Linked DNA regions of Arabidopsis thaliana. The protein of the gene in region 1 interacts with the protein of each later gene in a pairwise test. Each region holds a gene or a part of one and is shown in the gene's direction. Other genes may lie near its edges. The genes, in order: ABCG16, AT1G62330, AT3G28220 and ELIP2.

What was found.
Region 2: the proteins of ABCG16 (region 1) and AT1G62330 interact in a protein complementation assay, tested with the Arabidopsis thaliana proteins (one large-scale study listed by BioGRID).
Region 3: the proteins of ABCG16 (region 1) and AT3G28220 interact in a protein complementation assay, tested with the Arabidopsis thaliana proteins (one large-scale study listed by BioGRID).
Region 4: the proteins of ABCG16 (region 1) and ELIP2 interact in a protein complementation assay, tested with the Arabidopsis thaliana proteins (one large-scale study listed by BioGRID).

Annotation. Positions count from the first base shown.
Region 1 is NC_003074.8:20,414,261-20,421,982, reverse strand, and holds ABCG16 (ABC-2 type transporter family protein), read left to right. Parts: upstream 1-3,072; 5' UTR 3,073-3,430; coding exon 3,431-5,641; 3' UTR 5,642-5,800; downstream 5,801-7,722. Other genes in the region: ABCG17 (ABC-2 type transporter family protein), read left to right, coding at 1-1,631; AT3G55080 (SET domain-containing protein), read left to right, coding at 6,153-6,269, 6,598-6,692, 7,151-7,214, 7,319-7,429, 7,532-7,591.
Region 2 is NC_003070.9:23,043,354-23,051,804, forward strand, and holds AT1G62330 (O-fucosyltransferase family protein), read left to right. Parts: upstream 1-3,414; 5' UTR 3,415-3,611; coding exon 3,612-4,073; intron 4,074-4,468; coding exon 4,469-4,561; intron 4,562-4,643; coding exon 4,644-4,743; intron 4,744-4,836; coding exon 4,837-4,898; intron 4,899-4,989; coding exon 4,990-5,078; intron 5,079-5,186; coding exon 5,187-5,307; intron 5,308-5,396; coding exon 5,397-5,540; intron 5,541-5,614; coding exon 5,615-5,952; intron 5,953-6,041; coding exon 6,042-6,282; intron 6,283-6,391; coding exon 6,392-6,700; 3' UTR 6,701-6,984; downstream 6,985-8,451. Other genes in the region: AT1G62320 (ERD (early-responsive to dehydration stress) family protein), read right to left, coding at 1-78, 162-242, 311-430, 513-614, 711-846, 939-1,094, 1,189-1,502; AT1G62333 (uncharacterized protein), read left to right, coding at 7,113-7,325; ALE1 (PA-domain containing subtilase family protein), read right to left, coding at 7,770-8,173, 8,294-8,451.
Region 3 is NC_003074.8:10,520,284-10,528,163, forward strand, and holds AT3G28220 (TRAF-like family protein), read left to right. Parts: upstream 1-3,897; 5' UTR 3,898-4,136; coding exon 4,137-4,477; intron 4,478-4,574; coding exon 4,575-4,747; intron 4,748-4,918; coding exon 4,919-5,201; intron 5,202-5,805; coding exon 5,806-5,963; intron 5,964-6,056; coding exon 6,057-6,214; 3' UTR 6,215-6,450; downstream 6,451-7,880. Other genes in the region: PMZ (zinc finger (AN1-like) family protein), read left to right, coding at 302-409, 488-940; AT3G28216 (uncharacterized protein), read right to left, coding at 2,995-3,141; AT3G28223 (F-box family protein), read right to left, coding at 7,386-7,880.
Region 4 is NC_003075.7:8,415,836-8,422,002, forward strand, and holds ELIP2 (Chlorophyll A-B binding family protein), read left to right. Parts: upstream 1-2,406; 5' UTR 2,407-2,537; coding exon 2,538-2,672; intron 2,673-2,766; coding exon 2,767-2,868; intron 2,869-2,949; coding exon 2,950-3,294; 3' UTR 3,295-3,490; downstream 3,491-6,167. Other genes in the region: AT4G14695 (Uncharacterized protein family (UPF0041)), read left to right, coding at 3,998-4,052, 4,275-4,373, 4,460-4,512, 4,610-4,683, 4,962-5,010. UniProt on the Arabidopsis thaliana protein: Probably involved in the integration of pigments into the mature light-harvesting pigment-protein complexes.

The DNA of each region.
Region 1 (7,722 bases):
TTTTCCCTATGCTCACAGTCGAAGAAACTCTAATGTTCGCTGCCGAATTTAGGCTTCCGCGAAGCTTAAGCAAATCAAAGAAAAGAAACAGAGTAGAAACCCTAATAGATCAATTAGGGCTCACAACTGTTAAAAACACTGTGATCGGAGATGAAGGCCATCGTGGTGTCTCCGGGGGAGAAAGAAGGCGTGTATCAATTGGGACCGATATTATTCACGATCCTATAGTCTTGTTCCTCGACGAACCAACCTCAGGACTAGACTCAACTAGTGCCTTCATGGTGGTGCAAGTCTTGAAAAAGATTGCACGTAGCGGCAGCATCGTAATTATGTCAATCCATCAGCCTAGTGGTCGGATTATGGAGTTTCTTGATCGTGTAATCGTCTTATCTTCTGGCCAGATTGTGTTTAGTGATTCTCCTGCTACTCTCCCTTTGTTCTTCTCGGAATTTGGTAGTCCCATACCGGAAAAAGAGAACATTGCGGAATTCACACTTGACCTAATCAAAGATCTTGAAGGATCTCCCGAAGGAACAAGAGGTTTAGTCGAATTCAATCGAAATTGGCAACATAGGAAGCTAAGAGTTAGTCAAGAACCTCACCATAACTCATCATCTTTGGGAGAAGCCATCAATGCAAGCATTTCAAGAGGCAAACTTGTCTCTACTTCATATAGATCTATTCCTTCATACGTAAATCCATGGTGGGTCGAAACCGTAATCTTAGCTAAACGCTACATGATAAACTGGACCCGAACGCCCGAGCTTATCGGAACACGAGTTTTCATAGTCATGATGACCGGTTTTCTCTTGGCTACGGTTTACTGGAAAGTAGATGACTCTCCTAGAGGCGTCCAAGAAAGGTTAAGCTTCTTCTCCTTTGCAATGGCCACAATGTTTTACAGTTGCGCGGATGGCTTACCCGCTTTTATCCAAGAAAGATACATTTTCTTAAGAGAAACCGCGCATAACGCTTACCGAAGATCTTCCTACGTTATATCTCACTCTTTAGTAACTCTGCCTCATCTCTTCGCACTTTCCATAGGCTTTGCAGCGACCACGTTCTGGTTCGTTGGTCTAAACGGTGGTCTGGCAGGTTTTATCTACTATCTTATGATCATCTTCGCGTCCTTCTGGTCAGGATGCTCGTTTGTTACATTTGTCTCCGGTGTGATTCCAAACGTGATGATGAGTTACATGGTCACCTTTGGCTATCTCTCATACTGCCTCCTCTTCAGCGGATTCTACGTCAACCGTGATCGAATCCATCTTTATTGGATATGGATTCATTACATTTCTCTGCTAAAGTATCCCTACGAAGCTGTTCTGCACAACGAATTCGATGATCCCTCCCGTTGTTTCGTGAGAGGAAACCAAGTGTTTGATAATACAATAATGGAAGGAGTATCTGAAACGACAAAGGCTAAGCTTCTGGAGACAATGAGCGGTTACTTGGGGATGGAGTTAACGGAATCAACGTGTTTGACGACGGGCTCTGATTTGCTTAAGCAGCATGGAATTGAGCAGCTGGATAAATGGGGTTGCTTGTGGGTAACGTTAGCTTGGGGATTCTTCTTTAGGATCTTGTTTTATTTTTCGTTGTTGCTTGGAAGCAAGAATAAGAGGGCGTGAACGCCATAATGTAAATTTTTCCGAAACAGAAATTTTATTGTGAAAGCAAAATTGTCTTTTTGAATTTGAGATATTGATGATATATGTTGTATAATTATTATTTTTTTCTTTCATAGCTATCATATATTGTCTAAAGAAAGAATCGTACATCTAACATTTTACATGATGTTAGGTTCACAATTTTATAAAGGACTAAGATTTTAGTTTAATTCACAATTGGTAATGTTTTTAACTTAACAATATGAACTACATCAATAGTTTAAAGTTCAAACTAATATAAAGATACCACAAGCTACCAGTGAAGTAATTTAGTAGTTTTAATGTGCGTGTGAGCTATATGCCATCTTTCGTGGTCGGTGTAAACATAACGTATTTGACAAAATTCAAATTGCATCACTTTTTAAAAACAAAAGTATATACAACTAAACAGTTGGTCGAAAATAGAATTCAAAGTAGCCAACTTTCTTATAAGCTTTATTAGATGGTATTATAAATCTTTGACCCTTTTCTTATGGCGGTAAGGAAGACTACAGTAGGTAGAAGTTAGTCACCTAAACTTCAAAATGTCAACCAAAAAGATGTAACAGTGAAGTCAAAGTTTAGGATTGGAAATCCAAGAAGCTAAGCCAGTACGTCAATTTTGCTTTCATGTTACCATTGTGTCCATCACTAGAAGTTTGACCAAGTACTACTTAAGAGGAAGTTGCCTAACCTTTTGATCTGTTTCTTCTTTCCCTGGATGGATCAAAGACATCACTATTTTTACTTTCTTAACAAATAGTATTTGAAATGTGACACCATCTTTATGATTCTCGTGTAATTTTCGCATGCATGTTTAATTTTAGCAACAAACTTGACGATTTTTATTATATTTCTCTTAAACCACCACTCCACCCTTTACAAAACAAAAAGAATGTTTTATCAGCTTCTGTATACTGTGAATAAAACAGAGGAAACAAAGACCAAACACAATATTTGAGTTTGGTAAAGAATGTTCCACCGTTACCAACTAAATAATCAAGAAATAGAAAAAATGAACTTGGAGATTGTGTGTAGTCTTTCATAGCAAAAACAGGAGTTTATATTCCCAAACTAAATACAAATCTAGCTACTTTATCAAATATAACTTTTATATTATATTTGGTAGAATTAGTTGGGGTTCCGGAATTATTGCAATTTGCAACTTTTAGGCAGTTAGCAGCATAAGCAATCGTCTTCGGTCGCGAAAACAAAAGAAAATGTGAATAGTTTATCTAGGTACACATTTGCTTGCGATACAAACAATCACTATATCGCTACCAACATTCGAAGAATCTTTTAAAAACATTAATTAATTGACCAAACACTATGTGAAACGCAAGAAATATCTCATCTCAATCCTATATACTATCTATACCTCGGTTAGATCAACACCCTTCACCTAATTCTCCATTCTAATCGCCACGTGTCAGCCATTTCTACGTATTTTAGTATTATCACCTTGGAAAATCTAGATTTATTGGTCATCCCATTACCTCTCCCTAATTGAATACGAGAAATCCAAAACGCATTTTCCATCCAAACGCTAAGAATATTATTGTTAACAACACAAACCTAACAGATTTCTCATGATGATGCAACTCATTCAACACATAGAACCTTCGTGTTCACACGCTTCCACACGTTACTTCATATATATAAGGCCTATACACAGATACTAGCAAAACAGAGAACAAAGACTAACATTTTGATCATGCAAAGAGTGTTTTGATTTTCAAGTGTAAGCACATCATTTCTCACTTTACCATCTTTTGTTCTAAATGTCTCGCATACTAGTAGAAGATGATAATGCAACACCGTTTCATTCCATGGAGATTATTAGCTCATCTTTGACTTTAGGCCAACTTCTCAAGAACGTTAGCGACGTTCGTAAGGTTGAAGTTGGTGACGAAACTCCTGTTCATGAATTCTTTGACAGGGATGGTTCTTCACTTGACGGAGATAATGATCATCTTATGCGTCCTGTTCCTTTCGTTCTATCTTTCAACAACCTTACTTACAACGTCTCTGTTCGCCGGAAACTTGACTTTCACGACCTGGTTCCATGGAGGAGGACATCTTTCTCCAAGACCAAGACTCTTCTAGACAATATCTCCGGTGAGACTCGTGACGGAGAGATTCTTGCCGTTCTTGGAGCTAGCGGGTCAGGTAAATCCACTTTGATCGACGCTTTAGCGAATCGGATCGCTAAAGGAAGCTTGAAGGGCACGGTAACGCTTAACGGAGAAGCTCTTCAATCTCGGATGCTGAAAGTTATCTCAGCTTATGTAATGCAAGACGATCTTCTCTTCCCGATGCTTACTGTGGAAGAAACCTTAATGTTTGCAGCTGAGTTTCGATTACCAAGAAGCTTACCTAAATCCAAGAAGAAGCTTCGAGTTCAAGCCCTAATCGACCAGTTAGGGATAAGAAACGCTGCTAAAACAATCATTGGAGACGAAGGACACCGTGGAATCTCCGGTGGAGAAAGAAGGCGAGTTTCGATCGGAATCGATATCATCCACGACCCGATTGTTCTCTTCCTCGACGAACCTACTTCTGGTTTAGATTCCACAAGTGCTTTCATGGTGGTTAAAGTATTGAAGAGAATCGCAGAGAGTGGCAGTATCATTATAATGTCAATACATCAGCCAAGTCACAGAGTTCTCAGTTTACTTGATCGTCTTATCTTCTTGTCACGTGGACACACCGTCTTTAGTGGTTCTCCGGCGAGTCTACCGAGCTTTTTCGCCGGGTTCGGTAATCCGATACCGGAAAACGAGAATCAAACGGAGTTTGCACTCGATCTAATCAGAGAACTCGAAGGATCAGCTGGAGGAACAAGAGGATTAGTTGAATTCAACAAGAAATGGCAAGAGATGAAGAAACAGAGCAATCCTCAAACCCTAACTCCGCCGGCTTCTCCAAACCCAAATTTAACCTTGAAAGAAGCGATTTCCGCCAGCATAAGCAGAGGAAAACTAGTCTCCGGTGGCGGCGGTGGTTCCTCCGTCATAAACCACGGTGGCGGAACCTTAGCCGTCCCTGCATTCGCGAATCCGTTCTGGATCGAAATCAAAACTCTCACCAGACGCTCAATCCTCAACTCCCGACGACAACCGGAGCTACTCGGAATGCGATTAGCCACCGTAATCGTCACCGGATTCATCTTAGCCACCGTATTCTGGCGATTGGATAATTCACCAAAAGGAGTTCAAGAGCGGTTAGGGTTCTTCGCATTCGCAATGTCAACAATGTTCTACACTTGCGCCGATGCTCTTCCCGTGTTCCTCCAGGAACGTTACATCTTCATGAGAGAAACAGCTTACAACGCTTACCGGAGATCCTCCTACGTTCTCTCTCACGCCATTGTTACCTTCCCTTCGCTCATCTTCCTCTCTTTAGCTTTCGCAGTGACGACGTTTTGGGCTGTTGGGCTTGAAGGAGGCCTAATGGGCTTTTTATTCTACTGCTTAATCATCTTAGCCTCTTTCTGGTCCGGAAGCTCCTTCGTGACTTTCTTATCCGGCGTCGTTCCACATGTGATGTTAGGCTACACGATCGTTGTTGCTATTTTAGCTTACTTCTTGCTTTTCAGTGGCTTCTTCATCAACAGAGATCGAATCCCTCAGTATTGGATTTGGTTTCATTATCTTTCTCTGGTTAAGTATCCATACGAGGCGGTTCTTCAGAACGAGTTCTCGGATCCTACAGAATGTTTTGTGAGAGGTGTTCAGCTTTTCGACAACTCGCCTTTGGGAGAATTGACGTATGGGATGAAGCTGAGGCTTTTGGATTCTGTGAGCCGGTCGATAGGTATGAGGATATCGAGCTCTACGTGTTTAACGACGGGTGCTGATGTTCTGAAGCAGCAAGGAGTGACACAGCTTAGTAAATGGAACTGCTTGCTTATCACGGTAGGTTTCGGATTCCTATTTAGGATTTTGTTTTACTTGTGTTTGTTGCTTGGGAGCAAAAACAAGAGGAGGTGAAACTGAAACTACTGATGATACCTAAAACCAAAAACATATATTGTAATTCTTTTTCATTACTTGTAATTCGTAGATTGATTGTGTATTTGAATTGTATTCTTTTTAACATTTGTATTACTTTTGCCATCAATAAAAAAAATATCATTCTTTAGGAAATTGGAAATACAAAAAGCACCTATGAATCGCTTTTACTCAGAAAATTAATGCAACATTTCAAATAGAGGCATTGAGATTGTGGAAGAAAAATGAGGAGACACAGACACTGTTGCTAGAGGCAAGTAACTCTCAAAGCCATTTCACTTTGTAAGGTATCAAAAAGTCAAAATTGGAAGGCTATCTACAAAATCAATTAAAAACAAACCGATTTATCTGAAATTTAAAACCGAAACAAACCGGACCGAATCAGCATCAGAATATCGTCTGGTCCTGGCCGCTCTGCTCTAGCCGCAGTCGAAACACGAGTCCATAATACGAGCGGTGGTTGCTCACGCGCCATCCAGTTTGGCTGGAGATGCTATTCTGCATTTCGACAGTGAAGCTTTTCGGGTTTCAACAAAGGCGCAATGTTAGCTCTTTAGCCAAGCGTTTCAGTCTCGCCGGGAAACTAACGTTAGAGCTCCAAACTCAGGTTTGATTTGTGAAAGATTGAGACTTTCGTGAAATTTGTGAAATCAATGTGATGGACTGTTCACAGCTTGATTATCTCAAGTGTTAGAAAAGTTTTATCATACCTGAGTGTGGTTCCAAGAATTTTTCTAAGTTATGTATGTTTCTCCTCTACTGATAGCAATTGATACCAAAGATGAAACCTTTATGTTCTTTTAGCTTCTTCTATCTATAGTTAACCAAACAGACTGTTGATTTTGGGAGCTAATTGATGTAAGAAGATGTTGTACAGAACTTTTATGTCTCTCACAAAAGAGGATTTACGATCATCTTATCCATTTTATATCTAGGCTTCGTTGGACAATAACTTCTTACCCTGGTTAGAGCGAATTGCTGGAGCAAAGATAACTAATACTCTTTCGATTGGGAAATCCACCTATGGCAGGTGGGCTTGATGATGTTTTGAATAAGATGCAACTTTGCAAGTATTTTTCAAAATCCGTTTTTCGAGTACCTCGGTTTTCTGTTTACCGGCAATTAAAATATGGATTGTTAGACACATTTTCTCTATTCAATAATTCTATTCATAGTTCCCTTTCAATGTAATGATCAGATTCTTTGTTGATACCTTCTGTGGCAGCTTAATTTTTATATGACTTGTCTTGATGTTCTTTAATATGGTTCTGTCTTGTCATCAATAGTTGAAACATTGTACAACTTTGAATCATGTTATTTTGTCTTGTTTAGTAATCTGATTGTTTTCCATCTTTATGCGATTGTTTAATGAGTGATTGTGAGAATAACCAATTTCATTTCCTACCAGAGGCTGTCTCCTGGTGTGATGCTTTATCTTTAATGTCAAATACACTAACCATGTTAATAACTATATCAACTTCTGAGCAGGTCACTGTTCGCCTCCAAAGTTATCTATGCTGGTGACTGCATGTTGAAAGTCCCTTTTAATGCGGTATATTGTTGTCTACTGAAACGAGCTTTTCTGTTATCATGTGTCTTAAGAAGTATTGGAAATTCTTTTTATGCCATTAGTGTTGTTCTAACTTAAAATTTCAGCAAATAACTCCAGATGAGCTCCCCTCGGATATTAGAGTTTTATTGAGCAATGAAGTTGGGAATATCGGAATGCTTGCTGCTGTTCTAATAAGAGAGAAGAAAATGGGTCAAGTAAGCTAGGGCATCAACATTTGAGTAATTGACTTAAAATAAGTCTCCCATTTCATGTGAGTGTTTTGGTTTTGACTTAGTCTCTGATTGCTTTTGAATCAGAAGTCTCGATGGGTCCCTTATATCAGCCGACTTCCTCAACCTGCAGAGATGCATAGCTCGGTGAGATTTCACTCTAGTTATTATGTCATATGTTCGAGTCTTGAATTTTTGTTTTGGCCACTTCTTTAATGTGTGTTATTTTACCAAAAGAGATATACAAATATAAATAGTTATAGTTTAAGATATGATCC
Region 2 (8,451 bases), on another chromosome or scaffold:
ACGCGTTTTAAAAGACACAAAAGCTGCTTGCATTACACTTTTGTCATCTTTCTTTATCCTCTTCCTTTCTTCCATTATCTATGAAAATCAAATTCACACAAGAAAGGTTAAGGGTTTAGGGTTTGGGGCATTGTGCACCCCTACACGAGAAAGATACTTACTTGCTCGCTAAGTTTCTCGATCTCTGCTGTATAATGATCCATTGCATCTACTTTTTTGCCCCATAGCCCGAGAAATCCCATCTGCGAATCAAAAAAAAGTTTCGGTCTCAATATGTGTGTCGGCTTTTCGGGTTTGTCAAAGTATTTACCTTTACCCGTGGCCGTTGTTCCTTGTTTCTTGTATACTTCAACTGGTAGTAATCTAACCAATTCTGCATTTTCTTCTTGTCTTCTACCAATTTAGCCAATTCATTTGCATTGTACACCACCTGGATATATATAAGTCTAAAATACTTAACGAATAGCAATAAACCTAAAGAAATATTCATTCCTTTAATGCTATGATCTAACCTGATGTGTAAGATAATGGTCTGGGTGGTTAACAAGAAAGAAATGCTGCACGTTTTCGCTAATCGACTCGTCTGAGTCCGGTGGTACGTTCCTAACCAGAACCTGTCAAATGCATACAATATCCTAAAAATTGGAAACTATCTCTTCAGACCAAATAGCAAAGAGAGATTCTATATTAATGAAAACAATAATCTTTACAGTGAATTGATCAGCACGTCGCTTCTCTGATTGGAGAAAAGATAACCGCATTGCAGCAATTTTCTCATATTCCTTCATTAGTACATAGCAAGTCCAAAATGTGAATGCATAAGCCATCACAAGATGTGCCCAAAACCTTTTTACCAAATTAAGAAAAATTCTAATCATTATAAAGTTTTTAACAAAAATCAGAAGTAGCAACTACATAATTTTCTTTCACTAACAAACCTGTCTGATCCACGTTCGACATTCGAAATCGAAAGCTTATCGATATTACTCGATGTTACATTACGAAGTTTTGCTAGCTGCAATCCATCACTTGTCCAATTTACAGGTACTAAAATTGACCATGAAAGTAATGCAATCGGACCAAAGATCTTAAGCCTATAAAATAGTAAACAAAAAAAAAAACCATTAGAAAAAAAAAACAAAGCTATAATTAGTAACTGTATGCAAGAACAAAACATTTTTTGATTACCCAATCAAGTAAATCCTCAAGTAAACAGCAGAATCCAAACCAGCATGATCAATAAGTTCAGGCTCTGGCATCTTAAGAGCATCAGGCATCCAGTTTAAAAACCGAACGTATGATCGAAAGTCCAAATTCATAATCTTGCTAACGAAAGCACCCGAATTCACAGGGCTGCTTCTAACACCTTTTAAGTACCATTTAGGGAAATAAACCCTATCATTGAATGGTTGAATCCTCAAGATTGCAAATAGCAATAGAAATATCAATGCACTTAGAATATTAATCGCTGCTGCTAGTCCAATATCTGCTAATGTCGCCATCTCCTCAAACTAATTTATAATAAACCCTCACAAATTCTTTCTTCACCTGCAAATATATAAGAGCCCTAAAAATTGTCATAAGAGTTTAGACACAAAGATCAAGTTTTAGATTTGTATAATAGTCAAAGACGCTTATACTAATCTCACCTTTAGAAACTCATTACTCAAAAAAATTTGGCCCTTTCGTTGACTCTTTTTTTTCACAATGTTCTTGCGATCAGATTGAAGAAGAAAATAATATGAGATGAATCAAGAAATCATATTGGTGAAGTGGAGATTTGTGTGGTTTGTATAAAAGCTTCTTCGAATATAATCTTTAAATTTTCTTCAAGGAAAAGTATTGCACAAGTTTCTTTAGTTTTCTCTTCTCCTTCCTCTGAAAACAGAAACAGAGAGAGGGAAGAAAAAACAGAGTATGGAAAAAACAGAGAGATTGGTTCTGTTAACAGCACAAAAATGGGGAAGAGAAGAAAAGAAACTTCGTGCCGTTTTTGTTGATACAAAACGCTGAAAATACACGGAGAAATAGAAGAAGAAGAAGATGATGAAAAAGTTGGATCTTTTTAAAATCTTTGAATCTAGTTGTTGTTGGTCGGCCGTCTAACTCAAGAGACTATTATTATTCCTTGAAAAAGTTTCATTTCAAAAAAATGTCCCAATTGGGTTTATTCCTAAATTAAACTTAAACCAGCTCTAACTTTTTATTATTATTACACATCTATCTTATTTGTTTTAGATATACCCATGCTTATTTTGGAGATAAAGTTAGATTAAAATAACTAAAATAATAACTTTGTTGCTAAAATAAGATAATGACTTCATAGTTGACTAAAGTAAAAAATCATGAAATTAGCTTAATTAAATTGTTACTAATACTACTCAAGTAAGAAAATAATGAAAATAGGCAAATACCGTGCCATCACGTTGAAGTCTATAATTTTTTTTGTTTTTTTTTAATAATCATATTCTTCAGTATAAATCACCTTTTTGTCTATTTTATTCCCAATACGAATTACTTTTCTTACGTCCAAATCAATGTGAATAATCTAGCTACATTTTTCTTCATTTTCTTTTTTTAATAACCACCTTTCATCAGTGTCACAGAAATTTATCTAAGGACGTGCGTTAAGACTATCTGGGATTACATCAAAACTGCAATTGTTTTTTAATACTCTCATTATATTAGTCCTTGTAGACGTGTAGTACTAGTACCATGTCGAAAAAGTAAACATTTGTATCAATTGCTATATACATATATTAAAATGGTTGTAAATACAATTTTAAATTCTTAACTTAATTATCTTGAAAAAGTAAGTTAATAAGTGTCTGCATGTGCTATATTTCCTTTAACAAAAAAAAAAGGCCTGACAAAAGGAAATTAATAAGTTCTCTAACTCTTGTCTAATTAATATAACACCAAAAACAGATGTCTAGGCCCCAATTAAAATCATATTACTCTGATATGCAGAAAGCGTATTTGAAACCCTCCACACAAAAAGCCCAATATACCAAACACATGCTTGCAACTATTTTTGTTTTTGACAGCTAGTTTAGCTACTTGTTTATGTTATGAAACACAATGAAAAATTATTCAAATTTCATAGATATAGCTTCAACAAGCTGTAGATAGTAGTAATAAACTAGTTTTCAATTTTATTATTTACGTAGTTGGTAGGAGCTAATCCAACTTTACACATCGCTAAATGAAAAATTATTATTCATCTTAAATACTCAACAAAATTATTAATTCTGTCTTACCAAAATGTTATTAATTCTAAGAAATGATAACAACTACTAAGAACAGTCTACTTGATCAATTTCTTATAACTTTGAAACCACAACGGACATACGTAGGGTTATATTTCGTATTAGATAAAATAATAGGTAAAGATTAAAATGATTTTAAAGGACAGGGACCTTAAATTAATACCAGCGTCAATCTCAAGGTTTAAAAAAAACTTTAATAATTACGTTCAGACAAAGAAGAAAAATCCTCACTGAAATTCGAGCAAAAAACACTCACTTCGCTCTTTCTTCGCTAGCTTCGTTAAATTCAGCAAATCTATCTCTCACGATCGAACAGAACTGAGAGAGAGTGTGAGCTTAGCCATGTCTTCTGAGAGACCAGACGAAGAGAAACCAGAGACTCGCGATGTTCTTCGAGTCCAAGATCTGATCCATGGAGGAGGAGGAGCTTCACCGGTTCAATCACCGACACGTCTCGGTCCAACCCGCTTTTCAGAAGTAGCTGGAGACAAGATTCTTAACACCGGGTCGAATTGTATCGGGTCGGTTTTGTCTTGGATCAACGGAGATCCAAACCGGAATTTGAAAAATCCGGTTAAGAGAGCAAAAAGGAAACGAATCAGAACGGCGAAAACCGCCGCGTTTGTAATCGTACTTGTTGGTTTCTTCATTTTCGTTAATTGGTTTATGCTCTCTCAGCTCCATGAAGGTCGAGCTTGGCTACGGAGAGGATTCTCGAAAAAAACGAATCTTAAACCGAAACTGAACCCGGATCCGAACTCGAGTGTGAAACGGGTATCCGTTAAAGTGTCGGCGAATGTACAGGTAAATTAGTTAAAAATTTAATAATGTGATTGGTCAGTCAGTTTACTGTGAACTTTAACTTTTTAACAGTCTGTTTCTTGTCAAATCAATTTCAAATCCCCAAATGGTTAAATTGTGTAAAAATTTAAACTTTTTGTCTAATATACAATTACTTCAAATACAGATTTGGTTAGAGAAAAATAAAATCCTCTGTTTGAGATTTGTTAGTTAGAATGTGAAAATGCTGTGGTTAGGAGACAAAGTTTACATGTTTGAGATTTTGCTAGGTGAAGTATGAAATTATTGTAGTAAATGGTAAGTTTATGTAGTGTAATGTTATATATTACATGATTTTTGCATTTGGATTAATGGTTATGGAAGTTTCATTTGATGTTGAGTGACTTATGATTTGGTAGCATAAAGAGAAGAAAAAGATGGGAAAACCAAAGAAGACATATAATGGAACATATGGTAGATTGTTGGCTTATGCTGCTCATGCTTTGGCTGAGGTATTATCCTTTCCGCTTTCGACATTTCGAATTCTTAAACCGAAACCGAAAAGCCTACTGACCGAGACATTGTGTTCGTTAGGGGCAAAACAAGCTTGAACCAAAAGAGTTGTGGAGAGAACCAAAGGACCAAGCTTTGGCTTGGAAGCCTTGTGCTGATCAACGTTCCTGGAAGCCTAGTGGTCTCTTACTCTTACTCTCAATGAGTTTATTTCTCGTACTATATAGGTATAGTTTTTCTGATTTTTGTGTTTTTTTTTGTGTGTGGAGTTTAGATGGTAAAAATGGATATATAATGGTAACTGCAAATGGTGGGATCAACCAACAGAGAGTTGCTGTAAGTTTTGATTGCGTTACACATTACTTTGTCATGTCCCACTCTTTATATTGACTAACCGTTGGATTTCGCGGGGACATTATTAAAACAGGTTTGTAACATCGTTGTTGTTGCGCGGATGCTAAATGCGACACTCGTTATTCCTAAATTTATGTTCAGCGATGTCTGGACCGATGCAAGGTAACTATTGTAAGGTCCCTCCGTTCTCTGTCTCCTTCTCTTATAATTGATGCTTTCTTGAAAACGTCAAATTTTAACACTCTTGAATGGTATATATATGTTTCATAGTCAGTTTGGAGATATCTATCAGGTGGAACACTTTATAAAGTATCTTTCTCCTGATATCCGGATTGTAAAGAAACTACCCAAAGAGCTTCAGTCTCTAGATCTTGAGGCTATTGGCAGCGTCGTAAGTTCCTTACACCGCTTTTAGTGTGAAAAACCGATTTCATCTTCGTATTTTTTCTAATGTAGTTCTCTTTTATGTCGTTTTTTAAGGTTACGGATATAGATGTCATGAAAGAAGCCAAGCCCGGGTTTTATATGAAGCACATTCTTCCTCTTCTACTCAAAAACAGAGTCGTCCATTTCTTAGGATTCGGAAACCGTTTGGCCTTTGACCCGATACCGTTTGAGTTACAGGTAAAGAACCTTCTTTTAGCACCGTGGATATCGATATATTACCCGTAATGATCCAACTTTTTCTTGGGGAGTAGAGGCTGCGGTGTAGATGTAATTTTCATGCGCTAAACTTCGTTCCGAAGATACAAGAAACGGGTGCGATACTCGTAAGGAGATTACGAGATAGTGGATCACACCTTGCACCAGTTGACCCGTATCTCGTCGGTCCAAAATTTGCGTCATTCATATTGGACAAGAAAGCAGGTCCTCTCCATAAGGCTTCTAAGTATCTAGCAGTCCATCTCAGGTTTGAAATTGATATGGTGGCTCATTCTCTCTGTTACTTCGGAGGAGGTGATGCGGAAAAGGCAGAGCTTGATGCTTACCGGGAAAAGCATTTCCCGACGTTGGCAAATCTAACAAAGACGCAAAAGTTTGTTCCTTTCCTCTCTTAACTCTTTTTCACATTATTATTTCAGTTTTGGTATCTCACTGAATGCCCTTTTGTTTTCTCTTATGCAGAATGCCATCTCCAGACGATCTGAGGACAGAAGGACTTTGTCCTTTATCACCTGAAGAAGCCGTGCTTATGCTTGCGGGTCTGGGTTTTAGTCGGAAGACACGTGTTTTCGTCGCTGGTGCGAATATATATGGTGGGAATAAACGGTTAGCAGCTTTAACGAGTCTCTACCCGAATCTAGTCACCAAAGAGAATGTACTCTCACAAACTGAGCTAGAGCCTTTCAAGAACTTCTCATCTCAGGTGAAATGAAAACAAGAAAACCCGTCAAAACTTCCTTTTCGGTTTATCGGTTAACTTTCTCCGCTAAACTAAACCGAAGAATTGCATATTTTTCTTTCTGGTTATGTAGCTAGCGGTTCTTGATTTCATTGCATGCGCTGCATCAGACGCCTTTGCGATGACGGATTCAGGGAGCCAATTGTCGTCTCTGGTCTCGGGTTATCGGATATATTACGGAGCAGGGAAAATGCCGACGATCAGACCGAACAAACGGAGATTCTCAGACATATTGTTGAAGAACAATACTATAGAGTGGAAAGTGTTCGAGCAGAGAGTGAGAAAAACGGTTAGGCAAACCAAACATGTATTGGTTAGACCGACGGGACGCAGCGTTTACCGTTATCCAAGATGTAAAGAATGTATGTGTAATGAAGATTGATTATTTGGTTTACATTGTTGGTTCGGTTTTTTAAACGGTCTTCATATTTTTCATGGCATTTGTAGCGGCTACACATTCTAGTGAGTACCAAGCTTGAGTTTGGTACCAATATGGTATTATTAGTATTTGGTTTTGGGGGTATTTTGATGCTGGAAATACTAAGATTGGGTTTGGTAAACCGGTGGTAAGTATGAAATTTATCTCTCTATACATGCATAAGTATGAAATCCTTCCAGAAGAATTAAAGTTAGCTTGAAGGATTAGGTGGATAACTACCATTCTACTAAGCACTTATTTAATGAGTAACTGTTTTACACTTCAAAGACTTGTCGGTAACAATGATTCTTCATCTTGATGTTATATATAAACTAAGTTAGTACACAAGACAGATATTGCAATAACAATTCACAAAATGCCTTATCCTCCTCCTCATCGTCATCCTCCTCCTTTCCACCATCCACCGCCACCAAGACCACCGCCTCCGGAGCCTCGCCCTCCTCCACCTCCTCCAGGACCTCAGCCACCACCTCCACCTCCTCCCAGACCTGATCCACCACCTCCACTTCCCGGAGCTACTTGGTTTCCAGGACTTCTTGGGCCACGCCCTCCTAGACCACCATATTAGTCGTCATGAATGTTTTGGTCTATTTAAGTATATAATTCGAAATATATATTGTCGAAACATCTTAGATCTTTAAAGATTTCATATGTGTAACACTTTCATGTGTATTAGGCTCATCTGTGTAATCATCCTTCATATGTGTAATTAGAATGTATCTCAACCTTCGCAGGGTGGTAGGTTGAAACGGAGCACGCTTGCACTTTATTTGATTTTGTATTTGTAATGTAAAATTTAGAATATAATAACTAGTTTGTTGTTTACGTTTTATGTGAGAGCCGCTGAACAAATAAAAAAAATAACTCTTCCTTATTCCATACATTCATTTTATGAAAAAACTTATCTCCGTTCCTATTTGATGGAGTGTCAATAACCTTTTCGTTGGAAATTTTTAAGAATAAAGACCTTATTTTAAGTGAGATCGACAAGTAACAATAAAATTTTATGTTTTCAAATGGTTTTAACTGACAACGGTATTCTTATAATATGGTTTAAGCTTCCAGTAAGAACAACTTCACCAAATGTAAACTTGTTTAAGACTTGTGTGACATTGAATTCGATGTCTAGGTCTTGAGTTTTCTGTGGTGGTACGGTAAACCAAGTTGGGGTTAACCGTACAGTTGTACCATTGGGAGGTAAAACCGAACCAAGATATGTCTCAGTCTTGTTGGAGACGTCTTGGAAACTTCTTCTCACCACAAGTGACTCTTTAAGTGCAGATATAGTTACTGACGGATGGTTAAGGTTCGCTGGGTGGCTAAGCGTAGTGGTACACAAGACTCCTGTCGCGTCTCGGATAGTGGCTGGGCTAATGTTTGGCAGTGAGCACAAGAAACTTATGTAGTCTTCAAAACCTGGTCCAATACCCCAAAAATGATATTATAAAGTTACCTATAAGATTTTGTTTTACTACATTAATAGCACAAACTTTGTATAATTTATCAATTCCTTTCCATGATATGTAAAAAACTTACCAGCGGGTAAAACTAGTCCAGGATCTAGGGCTCTAGCAGGATTAACATGGCCCGCACCATGATCAAAATGATTAGATGGAAATAATCTACTTAGCTCATAATACTCCGCTGATATAATTTCACCATTACTATCGTATTCGTTAGCCGTGGTGGAGATG
Region 3 (7,880 bases), 9.9 Mb from region 1:
CTGAAACAGAAGAAACATAAAGATAAAAGTCTGAATTTATTCATAACAAATAGGCCTAAATGGGCCTAGAAACATCTAAAACCGCGTTACGTGTAAAAAGGAAAAAATCCAAATAAAGAAAACTTAAAAATGACAACCAAAAGAAAAATCCAACTTGGACGCTGGCTTCGTCTCTAAGTCAGCCCCAACCTCTATATATATATAGAATCAAGAACACAAGAAATATAGAACAACAACAACAACAACAAGAAGAACACACGAATAAGAAGAAAAAGAAGAAGAAGAAGAAGAAGAGAAGCTTATGGCAGGAGGAGGAACAGAAGCGTTTCCTGATCTTGGAGAGCATTGCCAAGACCCTGATTGCAAATTACTCGATTTTCTCCCTTTTACTTGCGACGGCTGCAAATTGGTAAGAGCTTTTTCTCAGAAACTTTCAATTTTTTTCTACAACTGAATGTTTCTTGATTGAGAAGTTTTGTGTGTGAAGGTGTTTTGTTTGGAGCATAGATCATACAAGTCACATAACTGTCCGAAATCCGATCATGGGAGCAGAACGGTTTCCATCTGTGAAACATGTTCAATAGCGATTGAAACAACTGGTTTTGATGAAAAAGGAATCAAATCTTTGCTTGAGAAACACGAAAGATCCGGAGATTGTGATCCAAACAAGAAAAAGAAACCAACGTGTCCTGTAAAACGTTGCAAAGAGATTCTGACTTTTGCGAATAACCTTACTTGCAAATATTGTGGAGTCAAGTTCTGTTTGAAACACCGGTTTCCGACAGATCATGTCTGTAACAAGAAGATCATTAATACCGCGGGAACAAGCTCGAGGTGGAACGAGAGGTTTATGGAAGCTTTGAGTTTAAGAAACCAGAAAGGGTGTGGAAGAGGGAGCTCTGTTTCATCAAAATCTTCACCATCAGTTAGATCGTTTTAGTTTCTTCTCTTGTAACAATAGTTTGCATCAACCAATTCCTTCTTTATGTTCTCATGTATTTTCCATTGTTTGCAAGAAAGAAGATTAATATTTTCATGAGTAATATTTCGTAAGAGAAGGAAGAAGAATGTTTTTATTAATATTAACTTCATTGGGAAGTTTCTTCTAAATTTTTAGATTCGGTTTTGGGTCCAATTTTTTGGGTCGGTTCCAATACTCAGTAAGAAGACTACTTAGAAAATGTAAATGTGGTGCAGTGTCTGTAATCTAGATTGCATATACATTGAAGAACCCAAAGATTGAATTGTTGTTCGTATGGCTTAAATGAGGTAATGCTGAAATCGATTTGTGAACAAAAGAGAATATGTGATTAATATCATTAACATAATACTCAATTTTGCTGTACGCTAATCGACATTTGTTTCAAATGGACCGATATAGCTATGGTTGAAGAGATGGAAGAGGTTGAGAGTGTTGTTTACAAGACACAAGTAGATGTGTGATCCTTAGAGAAAGGTTTATATGATGTGGGAGCTGAGATGGAGAGTCTAGCAGGTGAGACACGCACATGTGTGACCATATCAAGTAGCTATGGAAATGAGATTGAAGTCATCAAAGCATTTTTAAAAGGATGTGAGAAGGAGATTGGAGAGCTCAAAGCCATGAACTTTTGTAGTAAGAAAGAGATTCAATCTCGACGTTACTTCAAAAATTTTATCGGGTGTAGTTTAGTTATGGTTTGTAGTCTATGTTTTCATCTTTTAAGTATGAAAAGTTAGTATGAGTTTGTTGAGTTAAGAGTTCTGATTGTATTTTATTGGATTGAGTTTGAGTTTCAATTGAAAGTTGTTGTTTGGGTTTTACATAACACAAACATTGGGCCTTAATGGGCCAACGAAATTGGCAAGGTGAAGAAGAACAAAATGTGGGCAAAAGTTTGTTGCTCATTTAAGTCACCTATATATGCATTACAACGTACGACGTATAGTGGAGGTAGGTGAGAAAAGAATCTAAAAAGAGTTCTAGAGAAGAGAGATAAAAGAGCTTCCTAAACAAGCTTTCTTCTTCCTCTTTGTTGTTCTTGAATCTTTGTTCTTCTTGAGTGCAAATCTGTAAAACCAAAAGACATCATCACAAGTTAGTGAAGCTTGGGAGCAAGAGATCTCCCCCGAGACCCCGAGACGTAGCGGTTGAGGCCGTGAACTCGGTTACCAATTTCTGTGTCTGTTTATTTTCTTACCAAGCAATCTCTATCACTCTTTTCTCCACAAAAGTAATGAATAAATAACATAATAATGTTGTATATAACATACCAAACCCGAGGCAATTACAAGACAAAAACCATTATCCTACAAATTAAAAATTCAAGACAAATAGCCAAAAACCATAATCTATATCTTGAAGCCGAGATCATAGTCAAAACCATCATCCCATCATGTTACACATAAATCCGATAATCCAAATTAAAACCATCATCCTGAACATCATAAGTTTCCCAAACCAAAAGCTTTTACACAATTAATCACTAAGTGAAATTTGTGATACTTGATTCGGACCTTGATAAGAATGAAAGTGTAATCCTTTGTATTTCTTATCTATCAATCCAATTACAAAGAATCAAAACCCTAATCGATAAGCTTGAAGTTACAGTTCTCCAATCTTATCTCCTAAGAACAGAGCACATGCATAAGCCCTAATTCTACTCACAACATCAATATGATCACGAAGGATGCTTTTCTCTCTACTCTCTCTTAGACTCTTACTATTTATAAGTTTCTTCACACGTGACTCCGATCTCTCACTTCAGTTCTCACACGTGCCAACTTCTCATGAACGTATCAGACCTTCACCAAGTTGTTTTGTGGCCGACTTTTAGCTTGGATTCCAACATTAAAAATGTCATTCTCATCATCACCTCCTCTAACATCATTTCCATCATCACAAACTCGAGCATTCTCACCATTGACGTTTTCACAAGCTCTTTTCATCATTACATTCTTCAAGAATCTATTCCTTCTCCGTAAATATAACAACCGCTTTTGTCCACTTTGCAGCTAGACACATTCTCTCGAAAATATCATCTCTAGTATACAACGGTTCAGCTCTATAAACTTCTCAAAAGGAAGCTTATACCGTATCCTTTGCCCAAACAAAGACAATCCCACCGACTCCATCATGTTATTAAAAAAATTTTCTTGCATGCACACAAGTGTGTGAATCTGGCCTCCATCATATGTAAAAACATTACCGTCTGTACAAACAAAAAAAACTATTTTTGGCGAAAAAATTATCGTCGAAATATTGTTGGTAGGAAAAACACAATTTTATTTTGTTAACTTTAAACATTAAAAAAATAAGGATATATGGTTATTAAAAATTAAAAGAGAGTAATGAAAATGAATTACATGAAAGGGTAGAATTAAAAATGAGTAGCATTGGAAGGTCATTCCTAATAATTTATTTATTATAAATTCTAGATATTTATAAAATAAAAACTCAAATATTATTATATATTATACTATAAATTAATAAAAAATATTTTCTACAAATAAAAACATTTTTTAAAAATTAATTATTAAGCATTTAATCGATAGTTTTGATACGTATATAATAAAATATAGTTTTTAGTCTTTGTATTGATTACTGAAGTTCTACATTATAGCTAAAGCTAAAGCTAAATCCAAAAACAGAGGCTAGGATCGGAACAGAAGAACAAAACTATGTTGTGGTGTAGAGCGTTTGGGTCCATTTCTTGTTGTTAGCTAAAGCTATGTCTGGAGTGTTTGACGTTACATGCTAAATTTAGGTACAACTTAAACTTTTGTCTTTTTCTTGAAAACACGTGTTGAACAAATCTTTTCTGGTCGATAACTCAAGAAATCTTATCTGGTCGCAATCCATCTTATACCGACGTGAAATCTCAAGACACGTGAATATATAACTTGTTCATAATAACATTATCACTTTTATCGAACGCACAAAAGATCCTCCGCTATAAATATTTGTGGTGAAGAACTCTTTATACCAAACAAAAAAAGCTAAATACCAAATAAATGTTGGTACTCATCATACATATATAACTAACTCACCTTTTTGGTGTGTAGATAAATATATCTAACTAACTCCATTACATATTCCAGTCATTTGCTTATAAATTATAACCGTCACACTTACCAATTCAGTCACTTAACCAAACATGTCTGAAAAGGGGTTGATAAAAAAAGAAGACCACATGTTTCAAGAGGAGAAGAGAAAGACAAACTATGGAGCAATTGGCTTGGCTTGCTTCATTTCTTGTTTCTTTGCATTCCAATTCATGAAAATCGTAACAACACAACCTTCAACAACAACAACATCATCCATTGCCGTTATCGATAGCCCAATGTCCTCCCATAAGCTATCTGATAGGAGAGAAATATGGAGAGTTATCCCACCATCTACCTATTGTCTCAAAATCGAATCTTTCATAAAATTCGCCACTTCTCCAAACGCCGAGAAGTACGAATCCCGTCCTTTTGAATCCGGTGGATACAACTGGTAAGTAGTATTTTATCCTACATTTTGCATATGTCTTTGCATCACAAATTTTCAACGACACATTTGATTGTAAGACTATATATCCTTTTGCAAACAGGACACTTATTGTCTATCCTAAAGGAAACATTAAGGAAGGAGCTCCACTTAATTACGTTTCAATGTACGTCCAAATAGACAATTCAACACTCCTTAACTCTCCAAAAGAAGTTTACGCAGAAGTCAAATTCTTCATTTATAACCGGAAAGAGGACAAGTACTTAACATATCAAGGTATATACATCCGAACGCCCTATTTATATCTTATTTATAAACTATATTGTATTAATCAAATTTTCAACGTTTAAATTTAAAACAATTGAGACGCTGATAGTTTGCATAGTTTCAAATGCCAAAATTTGCATTTAAAAACACACAATCTCAAACGCATGTCTTGGTACACAGAGACGGATGCAAAACGCTTTTTTCTGTTCAAACCATATTGGGGATATGGTAATGTTAGACCCTACACCGACGTGGCTAATCCCAATGCTGGTTGGCTTTTCGACGGTGACAATGTTTTATTCGGTGTGGACGTATTTGTCACTGAAGTTTTTAACAAATGGGAAGTGTTCTCATTCACTAAGAGTTTGCATGACCGCCTTTACAAATGGACGTTACCCAATTTCTCGTCACTAGAGAAACAGTACTATGTCTCTGACAAGTTCGTGATCGGTGGGAGAAGCTGGTGAGTTCCTCATGTCATAAATTCTTTAAGCCACATATTGATACTTAGTCCTGGATGTTCGGTTATCCATTCCGTTATCGGTTTTTTCGGTTCTAAAGTTATTATCTATTTGGTTATTTTGAAATTTCGGTTTGGTTCTTTCGGTTTTAAATTTAGTATCCATTCCGTTATTTTGATTTGAATATTTTCGGATATTTTAATTATTTTTGGATATTTCGGTTATTTTTGGATATTTTTGATTATTTTTGAATATTTTAACTATTTTATATATATTTTTAATTATTTAGTTTAAAAATAACTAATATTTTTAATTATTTAGTTTAAAAATAACTAATATTTTTGGAAATATATTTATATTTCAGATATTTTGGTTATCCGGGATATTTTGGTACGTAGCCATTTAGTTTCGGTTCTTTCGGTTCTTTCGGTTATATATAGAATTTAGTATCCATTTGATTATTTTTTAATTTTTGATTCCGTTCGATTCTGTTATTTTGTTTCGATTTTAGTTCGGTACATTCGATTAGGTTTATTTGCGCAGGCTTACTAATACTGATTCAAGAAAAAATTAACTATTTACAATATTTTAATATACAACTCTTAGGGCTTTGAAAGTGTATCCAAGTGGCGATGGCGAAGGACAGGGTAACTCGTTGTCGTTATATGTTGTTGCGGTTGATGTTAAGCCGTATGACAAGATTTACCTAAAAGCTAAGCTACGGATTATAAACCAGAGAGATTCTAAACACATGGAGAAGAAAGGTAAATTATATCGAACCATAATAGTGTGGCTAATGTTACTTACTCTATTAATTTTTTTCTTTTAGAGTTTAATTAACACTAACTTAATGACAGTTGAAAGCTGGTCGGATCAAGCAAACAGTTGGGGATTCCAGAAGTTTGTACCATTTGCTGATCTTAAGGATACTTCTAAAGGTCTTCTTGTGAATGATACATTGAAGATGGAGATTGAATTTGAAGATTTCTCTAACACAAAATACTTTCCAAGTTAAGTTTTGCATAATGCAAAACCAGAGAGCTTGGAACCAATTGTGTTCTGTTTTTTAAGTGTTTTTGTGCTAATAATTGGAGGATTGGTCTTCCTAAGGTTTAGGAGCCTATCTCCCACTTTTCCCAATTCCCTAGTTTGTAGAAATCGTTGATTCCAAGCTAGCTTTTCTTGTACTTGTTTCCTATTTAAATAAATGAAAACTAAGAATAAAAGCAGTCTTAATTTACCATTGAAAAACTCTTGTTCTTACTTCATTCTAGCTGCGACTAAGACTAACACTAACCGTGGAATAACACTTCTAAAATCAACCGAATAAGTTTGCGCGTATGATAGTAATTTGAAATAATAACAAGCTTTGCGCACCAACAATAAACATCGATCATGTTCTTAAGTTTCACGAGTGCTTCTTTGTTATTTGCTCTCTTTCATCTGTTTGTTACTCTATTATTTCTCTGGTTATGTAGTGTATATAATACATATAGATCTACCAAGCAATTCATAATGTATAATATATCTGCCATGTATACTCTATGTAAATTAAGCTATGTAACCAATCCATACTCTTCTTTCATTGTATTTTTAACAATCATCAATAAGCAAATCAAAATTACCAATATCTAATACAACTCGTTCCTTTTAGGAAATAAATAAGAAGCAAAGAAAATACTCTCTACTAGTTGATGAAGGCTTGGAAGGGAGATGACAAAACGTACGTAGCAAATCAAAGAGGAAAATCCAACCCTATCCACACAGTTTTTGGCTCTTTGCTTGCATCACAAGTCACAAAGACACATTGATTCTAAAACCATTCATTTGGAAACAGAACACTTATTGATTATCCTAAAGGAAACTAAAGAAGGGAGCTCCAACTCTGGATGGTTTTAACTTTACGTCCAAATAGACAATTCAAGATTCCTTAACTATCCTAAAGAAGTTTAGGTTAATAAAAAAGTTTTGCTCTTCCTACAATCTCTAGTGTTATCAAAATCTCATAAAAAAATTGTAGACAAAATAAAAATAAAAAATATAAGCCGCTGATGTTAAGCCCTACGACAAGATTTACATAAAAGTTAAGCTACAAATCCTCAGCCAAAACGATTCTAAACATGTATAGAGAAGAAAGGTAAATAATATCAGAAACATAACAGTTTGAGTAATTACTGCTTACTTTGTTAAGTTGCCCTTTTCCGTAATCTTATTCGCATTCGAAGCTTGTCGGTTGGAGGCGAGGAAGGGATCCGATGCAGCCAATGCGGGAGAGCAAACCTGGAGAAACATGGGTTAAAGAGGTGTTCAAACGGGCTCCAGTCTCCAGCAAAGCTCATAATGCGACCATCGCTACTATATTCCAACTTCTTGTGACGCCGAAACTTGCCTTTGAGCAAGCTAGTAGATACTAAACATTTATGCATCTCACTCCACAAATACATTTTATTAGCATCAAAAGGGTTTATTGCCAACGGAAAGTAATCTAAACCACTCTTGATACAAGCCGGAGATATTTCAGATACTATTTCCCATTTCCCACTCTTTAACCTCCATACACATAACTTAAGCCCTAAACTTCCATCATCTTTTTCTTCATTGATAATTTTCATATACATAAGAGATCCTTGGGATGTTGTGAAAGCTCTTCTAAAATACACATCGTTTTCTAGATGAGGGAA
Region 4 (6,167 bases), on another chromosome or scaffold:
AAAAACATAATTAATACTAATAACGACGATATTTTAATGTTTCCTCTTGCATGAAAAAGCATTGAAAATGACGGAGTTGATTCACTTTATTGGTGGCTGCTTTGGGCTCACATTCAACATGTGCCAATTAAGAATTCTGAGGGTCGACCTACCCATCCTCATTCACTCATAGCGACAATTCAAAACAGATCTACTGGGGCTTTAAATAAGGGTAAGGCCTTGTTCCGAACTGGGCTTTAGTAAGATATTATAACATTTCTGTTCCAAATACAGTACATCAAAACTTGAATCTAACTTATATCAACTTCAATAATCATCAATTCATCAGTTAAAAAAACTCCTTCTTTCATGGTTTAGTTTATCAAAGATATGCATTTGATTTATAAGAAAACCCAAAGAGTATTTGTTACCTAGTCGTCCCCGGGTTTCACGGGGTTACAATAAGAGAAACAAAATGGGCCACATAATATTTATTTATTTAGTGATTCTGTCGTTTAAAAAAAAATTAGTTTAACACATTGTCAAAGTTTGAACTAAGGAACTTGTAACTCAAATACTGAAACTTTAACCATTAGACTACATTTTTATGCAAATTCGGCCAAAACTAAATAATAATATGATTAGCGGCCGCAAGCTTATGTTTTGCTTGCTTGGCCTTGTGGCCGGCTAAATAACCTAAGTATATAATCAATAAATTACATAAACGACCGGATAAATCAGAACTTAATTATAATGTTAAAAGTAATTAAATGAATGATGACCCTCGTCGTCTCTCCTCTTAAAACACAATAATCTCATAAATACAATTTTTATATGAAGTCTTCACAAACTACTATAAATTTCCCAAAGTTGTTCTCTCTCTTTGTCCACTCGAAGACTCATGGGGATAAGAAGGCACTCGTGTTATGGGCTTCGGGGCTTTTTATTGTTCGCCCTTTCGAGGACCTTCTCACATGTTTGGACTTTTGAGTCTAAATGCCTTATTTCCTCACGAATGACGTGAACATTTTTTCGTCCTGAACTCAAAAGTATCAATTACACACTTCACACTACTAATGGTCAAGTTTTTTCGTATTTGAAACTACAAATGTAAGTAATATATGCGATAAATTTATTATCCTCTGCTAGTAAAATCCATTAAAAAAAACTACCAATGTGGGTGTATGTTTTCTTTCAGTATATATAAAGAGTTTTCGCAGAGAGCACATATCGATGGTGGTACATCAAATCTGATCATTCATATCTAAATAATTGTTGTTGAGTTTTCTATATGTGTGGAACGTTAGATTGCTTAAGCTAGAAATTGACACAAGAGTTTGATCACCGAGTTCCTGCCTCCTGGCCTCTAACCGGTACGTCTCGGGTGGGAACTGTCTCCCACAACTTTTCACTATCAAGCAAAAAGTATTACAAGCACTAATAGAGGTTTCTCTTCTCCTTGTTACAAATTTAGAAATTAACTCACACACAAAAGACAATAGAAAAGGAGACTATACCGACACGAAGACTATGCCCATATCTTCACAATTGTGCTATTATTTACCGTTCTAATCTGGAAAAAAAAACAGCGCACGTAGGAGAATTGGGCACGAAGACATGAATGGGACACATAAAGGATCAAAAGAGTCATCATGGGTCTGCCATGATGAAAGTTAAGAAAGTTCCAATACGCGCGAAACAAGATTGAATGCGACTTCTCTCTATACCAAAAACGAATCTCCCAAGTCCCAAGTGAATATTGTGAGCCACTAACTTGTTATTAACATTTTGAGACAAAAAAAAAATTTGTACGTGTTTTTGCCAAACCCACTTGGCCATGACCAATCAGAAAAAGACAAGGAAGATGTGTATCTATGTGTAATGAGGAGGCCACGCCATCAGTTTACTTGCACTTTTCCAACTAGACGTGGCCTCTCACCGATCTCAACCTCACTTTCCTCTCATTTCTCAAATTTTATTGGCTACGTGTTTTTGTGTTTAGCGTTCAACCCAAATATCGATATATTCTTCTTTTTTTTTCACATTTTTAACGATTTCGAGCAAAATAATTCGATTTATTTGTATAATTTTAATATGGTAGTTTTACAAATAATGAAACGAATGACCAACTGATTTGTTAGGTGTTACAATAAATATGGAAAAAATCTCATAAGTTTGAAAACATTTATTCTGAGGAAACTTTTTCTTCCCCAAAAGAAAAAAAAAGTTTAAAGTGGAAAAAAGAAAAAAAAGGAATAAAAAGTTTGAATTCAGTTTTTTTCTTTTCTTTGATAGATTTCTTTCTACTTATTTATTACTCTACTACACACCACACAAAAACAAAAATAAAATAAGTAATCATAGTATCCCATAAATCAGTAAAGATAAATAAAATCCAGAAAATACTGGGCCTATCATTTTCCTTCACCAACTCTATAAATGAAGAGATAATCCTACAGTTACACCTCAAACCAACTCCATCTCACTTCTCAAGTCTTATAATTTATTCATTTCTCTCTTCTTCATCGATCTTCGGCTTTTAGAAAACCTAATCAGAAATGGCAACGGCGTCGTTTAACATGCAGTCAGTGTTCGCTGCTCCTTCCGGTGTATTGACTACACGCAACATCAGAAACACAAACCAACTCTTCTTCAAGAGGATTGCTCCGGTAGGAGTCAGATGCATGGCTCAGGTATATATACACTAACCTCATAGTCCTTCCACTTCCCTACGTTACTTATTTGACTTTTAATCCTGACCGTTCCTTACATTGACTATTTTTTTAGGGCGATCCTATCAAGGAAGATCCTTCTGTGCCCTCGACCTCGACTTCGGCCACTCCACCACAAATGCCACAGTCTCCTCCTCCACCAGTTAGCAAGCCTAAGGTATGATCTAATGATCAAAGTCATTAATATATATCACTAGCTAAAAAAATGAAGCTAATGAATAATTTTCTTATTGTCTAGGTGAGTACGAAGTTTGGAGATTTGCTAGCGTTTAGCGGTCCAGCACCCGAGAGGATCAACGGGAGACTAGCAATGGTTGGATTCGTGGCGGCCATCGCCATGGAGTTATCAAAGGGAGAAAACGTGTTTGCTCAGATCTCTGACGGTGGTGTCGGGTGGTTTCTAGGAACAACAGCGTTGTTGACGTTGGCATCGATGGTTCCGTTGTTCAAGGGAATAAGGGCAGAGGCAAAGTCAAAAGGGTTCATGACTTCAGACGCCGAGCTATGGAACGGTCGGTTTGCGATGCTCGGTCTCGTTGCGTTGGCCTTCACCGAGTACGTCACTGGTGGGACTCTAGTCTAAAGCTAAAGCTTTTTGTTTGCTAGTTTAAGGACAAATTTGGAGAATGATTATGTAACGCATAGATTGATTTAATACTATGAGTTTTAAACAGTGTGTCAACATGAATCAAAATTTAAAACCATGAAAAAAACATTATAAAAATTTATTTGAAAAAGTACTTCAAAAGTTTTCTTATAAGATAATGTGAATGGAGAAGAAGAAGTAAAAAATAAATTTTAGCTTCTATCCAAGGTTTGAGAGTTTATGCATTCTTTTGAAATGAATCAAGAGCCAAGAATAATTAATTATGCTCTTCCTTGTTATTATCGACCAATAGAGTCATCATGTGTCTGCCATAATGAAAGTAAAGCAAGTTCCAAGACGAAACGAAATTGAATGCGATTTCTCTCTAACAAATCACCTCATCTCAATTCTCAAGCCCATGGGTTAGTCTCATCAAAGCCCAATCAAAGCGTCAATGCTTCCCAAGAACAAAAAAAAATATATTAAGATGAACAAACAAAAAAACACTTAAAAGAGGAAAGATCTGGCCACTACAACACTACACGATAGTACGATCGATGAATATAATCGGAAAGATTTGAGTGGCTCAATTACATATTGCTTATACGACGTCGTTTTGAGTAGCATCATTTCGTTAATATTTATGTAGGAGACTGAAACAAGACAGAGAAAAGAGAATCTCCGAGGAAAACAAAAGTTGATGGCGACGTCTAAGCTTCAAGCTCTCTGGAATCACCCGGCAGGACCAAAGACAAGTGAGTTATCACATTGTTTCATCAATAATATATTACTCTTTCTTCTTCCGTTTCAATTAAGACTCTATTGAAACGTTACTATTGGAAAATGTTGAATTGTTTATAGTACAGTTCTTGACAAAAAAAAATCTATATCACTTTAAATCCTCTAATGAATAATATATTCTAATTGTAAACAGTTTCTCTCTTTTTTTGTTGTTGTTGTTGTTGGGTATTAATCAGTTCATTTCTGGGCTCCAACATTTAAGTGGGGTATAAGCATTGCTAACATTGCAGATTTCCAGAAACCTCCAGAAAATATTTCGTACCTTCAGCAAATTGGTAAATAACTACTACTCTTCAGAAATCTCTAATCTTTCTTGTTACAATTATTGTTATAAACATATTATCCATAATTATTGTATTAGCTGTGACATGCACTGGAATGATTTGGTGTCGTTGCAGCACTATAATTACTCCTGTAAGTTTTGTTTGCTTTTCGAGTTTTACTTTTGTGATTGGATTCTTGGTTTTGGTTTATCGATCTGATTCTTTGGACTTTTGTTTTTTTTTAACAGAAAAACTGGAACCTGTTTAGTGTTAATGTTGCTATGGCAGCTACAGGGATATACCAACTTACTCGCAAAATAAAGTGAGAATCAAACCCACTTTTTTGTTTTGCTTGTGTTTTAACATAGATAACAAATTCATCAGCTTACTATATAAAACATTTCTTTTGCTAAGTTAAACGCAATCAGAAAGGTTTGGTTTGGCGTTTACAATCAGCAAAGGAAATTTTGCTTAATATGTAATGCAAACAAAGAGTCGAAGCTATTTTAAACTCGATTTTTATGATGATTGTCTATGATAGTATGATTTTATCTTTTGATACATCAATGAAATGCTTATTAACTTTTTTTTTGATATTAGGTATGATTATGTATCTGAAGCAGAGGCTGCTGTTGAAATTGAAGGATGATGATGATGAAAAAGATGAAACATTTGACATGTGAAAATGTTCGTTCATTAGTACTGTCTTGTTAATGGACCTCTAGTAGCATATGCCAATGTTTGGATTTTTGTTAGATAGTGAATGGTACGTTACATGCTTGCTAAAGATTTTTATATTATTTGGGACAAGATTGATAGTTGAGTTTATGTAAGATTAATCAGTAATTAGATCAAAATAATAACTCTATATCTCTTAAAAATATGTTACCTCTTTATCAATGACTAGATGAGTACCCGCACTACGTGCGGGTTTACGTATTATTTACAAATTATTTTATATAATGTTTGTTCATATAAAGTAAAATTGAATGCATAGGTTTTGAAACATAAATATGATTTGTAATTGTTTTTGAAAAGCCCAACTATATTAGTTCATCTGAAAAACGAATGTGATTGAATTGTTTTTATTGTTGTTTTAGATTCTCAGTTTTTTTTTTGAATTTATATATCCTTGCTTTTTCAGTTATATGTATAGATTGTGAGACGGTGAAATTTTAGAAAATTTATTTCTTACACTAAAAATATAACATGTCTTTATTAATCATATCTCTGCATATTCAATCTAAGCATATTCAACTTGATGTTCTTGGAAAGTTTAGTTAAGTTCTTGTCATAATCTTATATCTTACGTATTAGTTATAAGGATAGCTCCTCAAATATCTTTCAAATTACTTGTTTTCTTAGCATAGATCTCGAAAAGCTTAGATATATTTAATCTGCATATTCATTTAGTTTCTTTCATAATAATCGTCTAATTTTTAGGCTAGGAATATGTGTAACATGTTTGGATTTTATCATCACTTTAGCCACTTAAGTGGATCTCAAAATTAAAGAGGATATATTGAATTAAAAAAATGTAAAAAGAGTGATGTTTCAAGTTCTCATTAATTATATTCTCATATTTTAGTTGTTATGTTGAATTAATTACTAATTATGTATTACTTATTTTATGAAGTATAGGTGGCAAGCTCTCATGTGCTGATGTGTCAAGTTGTGGGAGAGAGTTAGTCTTCTTTCATATATATGATTCAATGTATATTAAAATCTCAAAGAAACTAAATATTTCAGTCATTAGTCAATAGTAAAATTATAATCTTCAAATCAAATTCAATGAATATTTTTCTC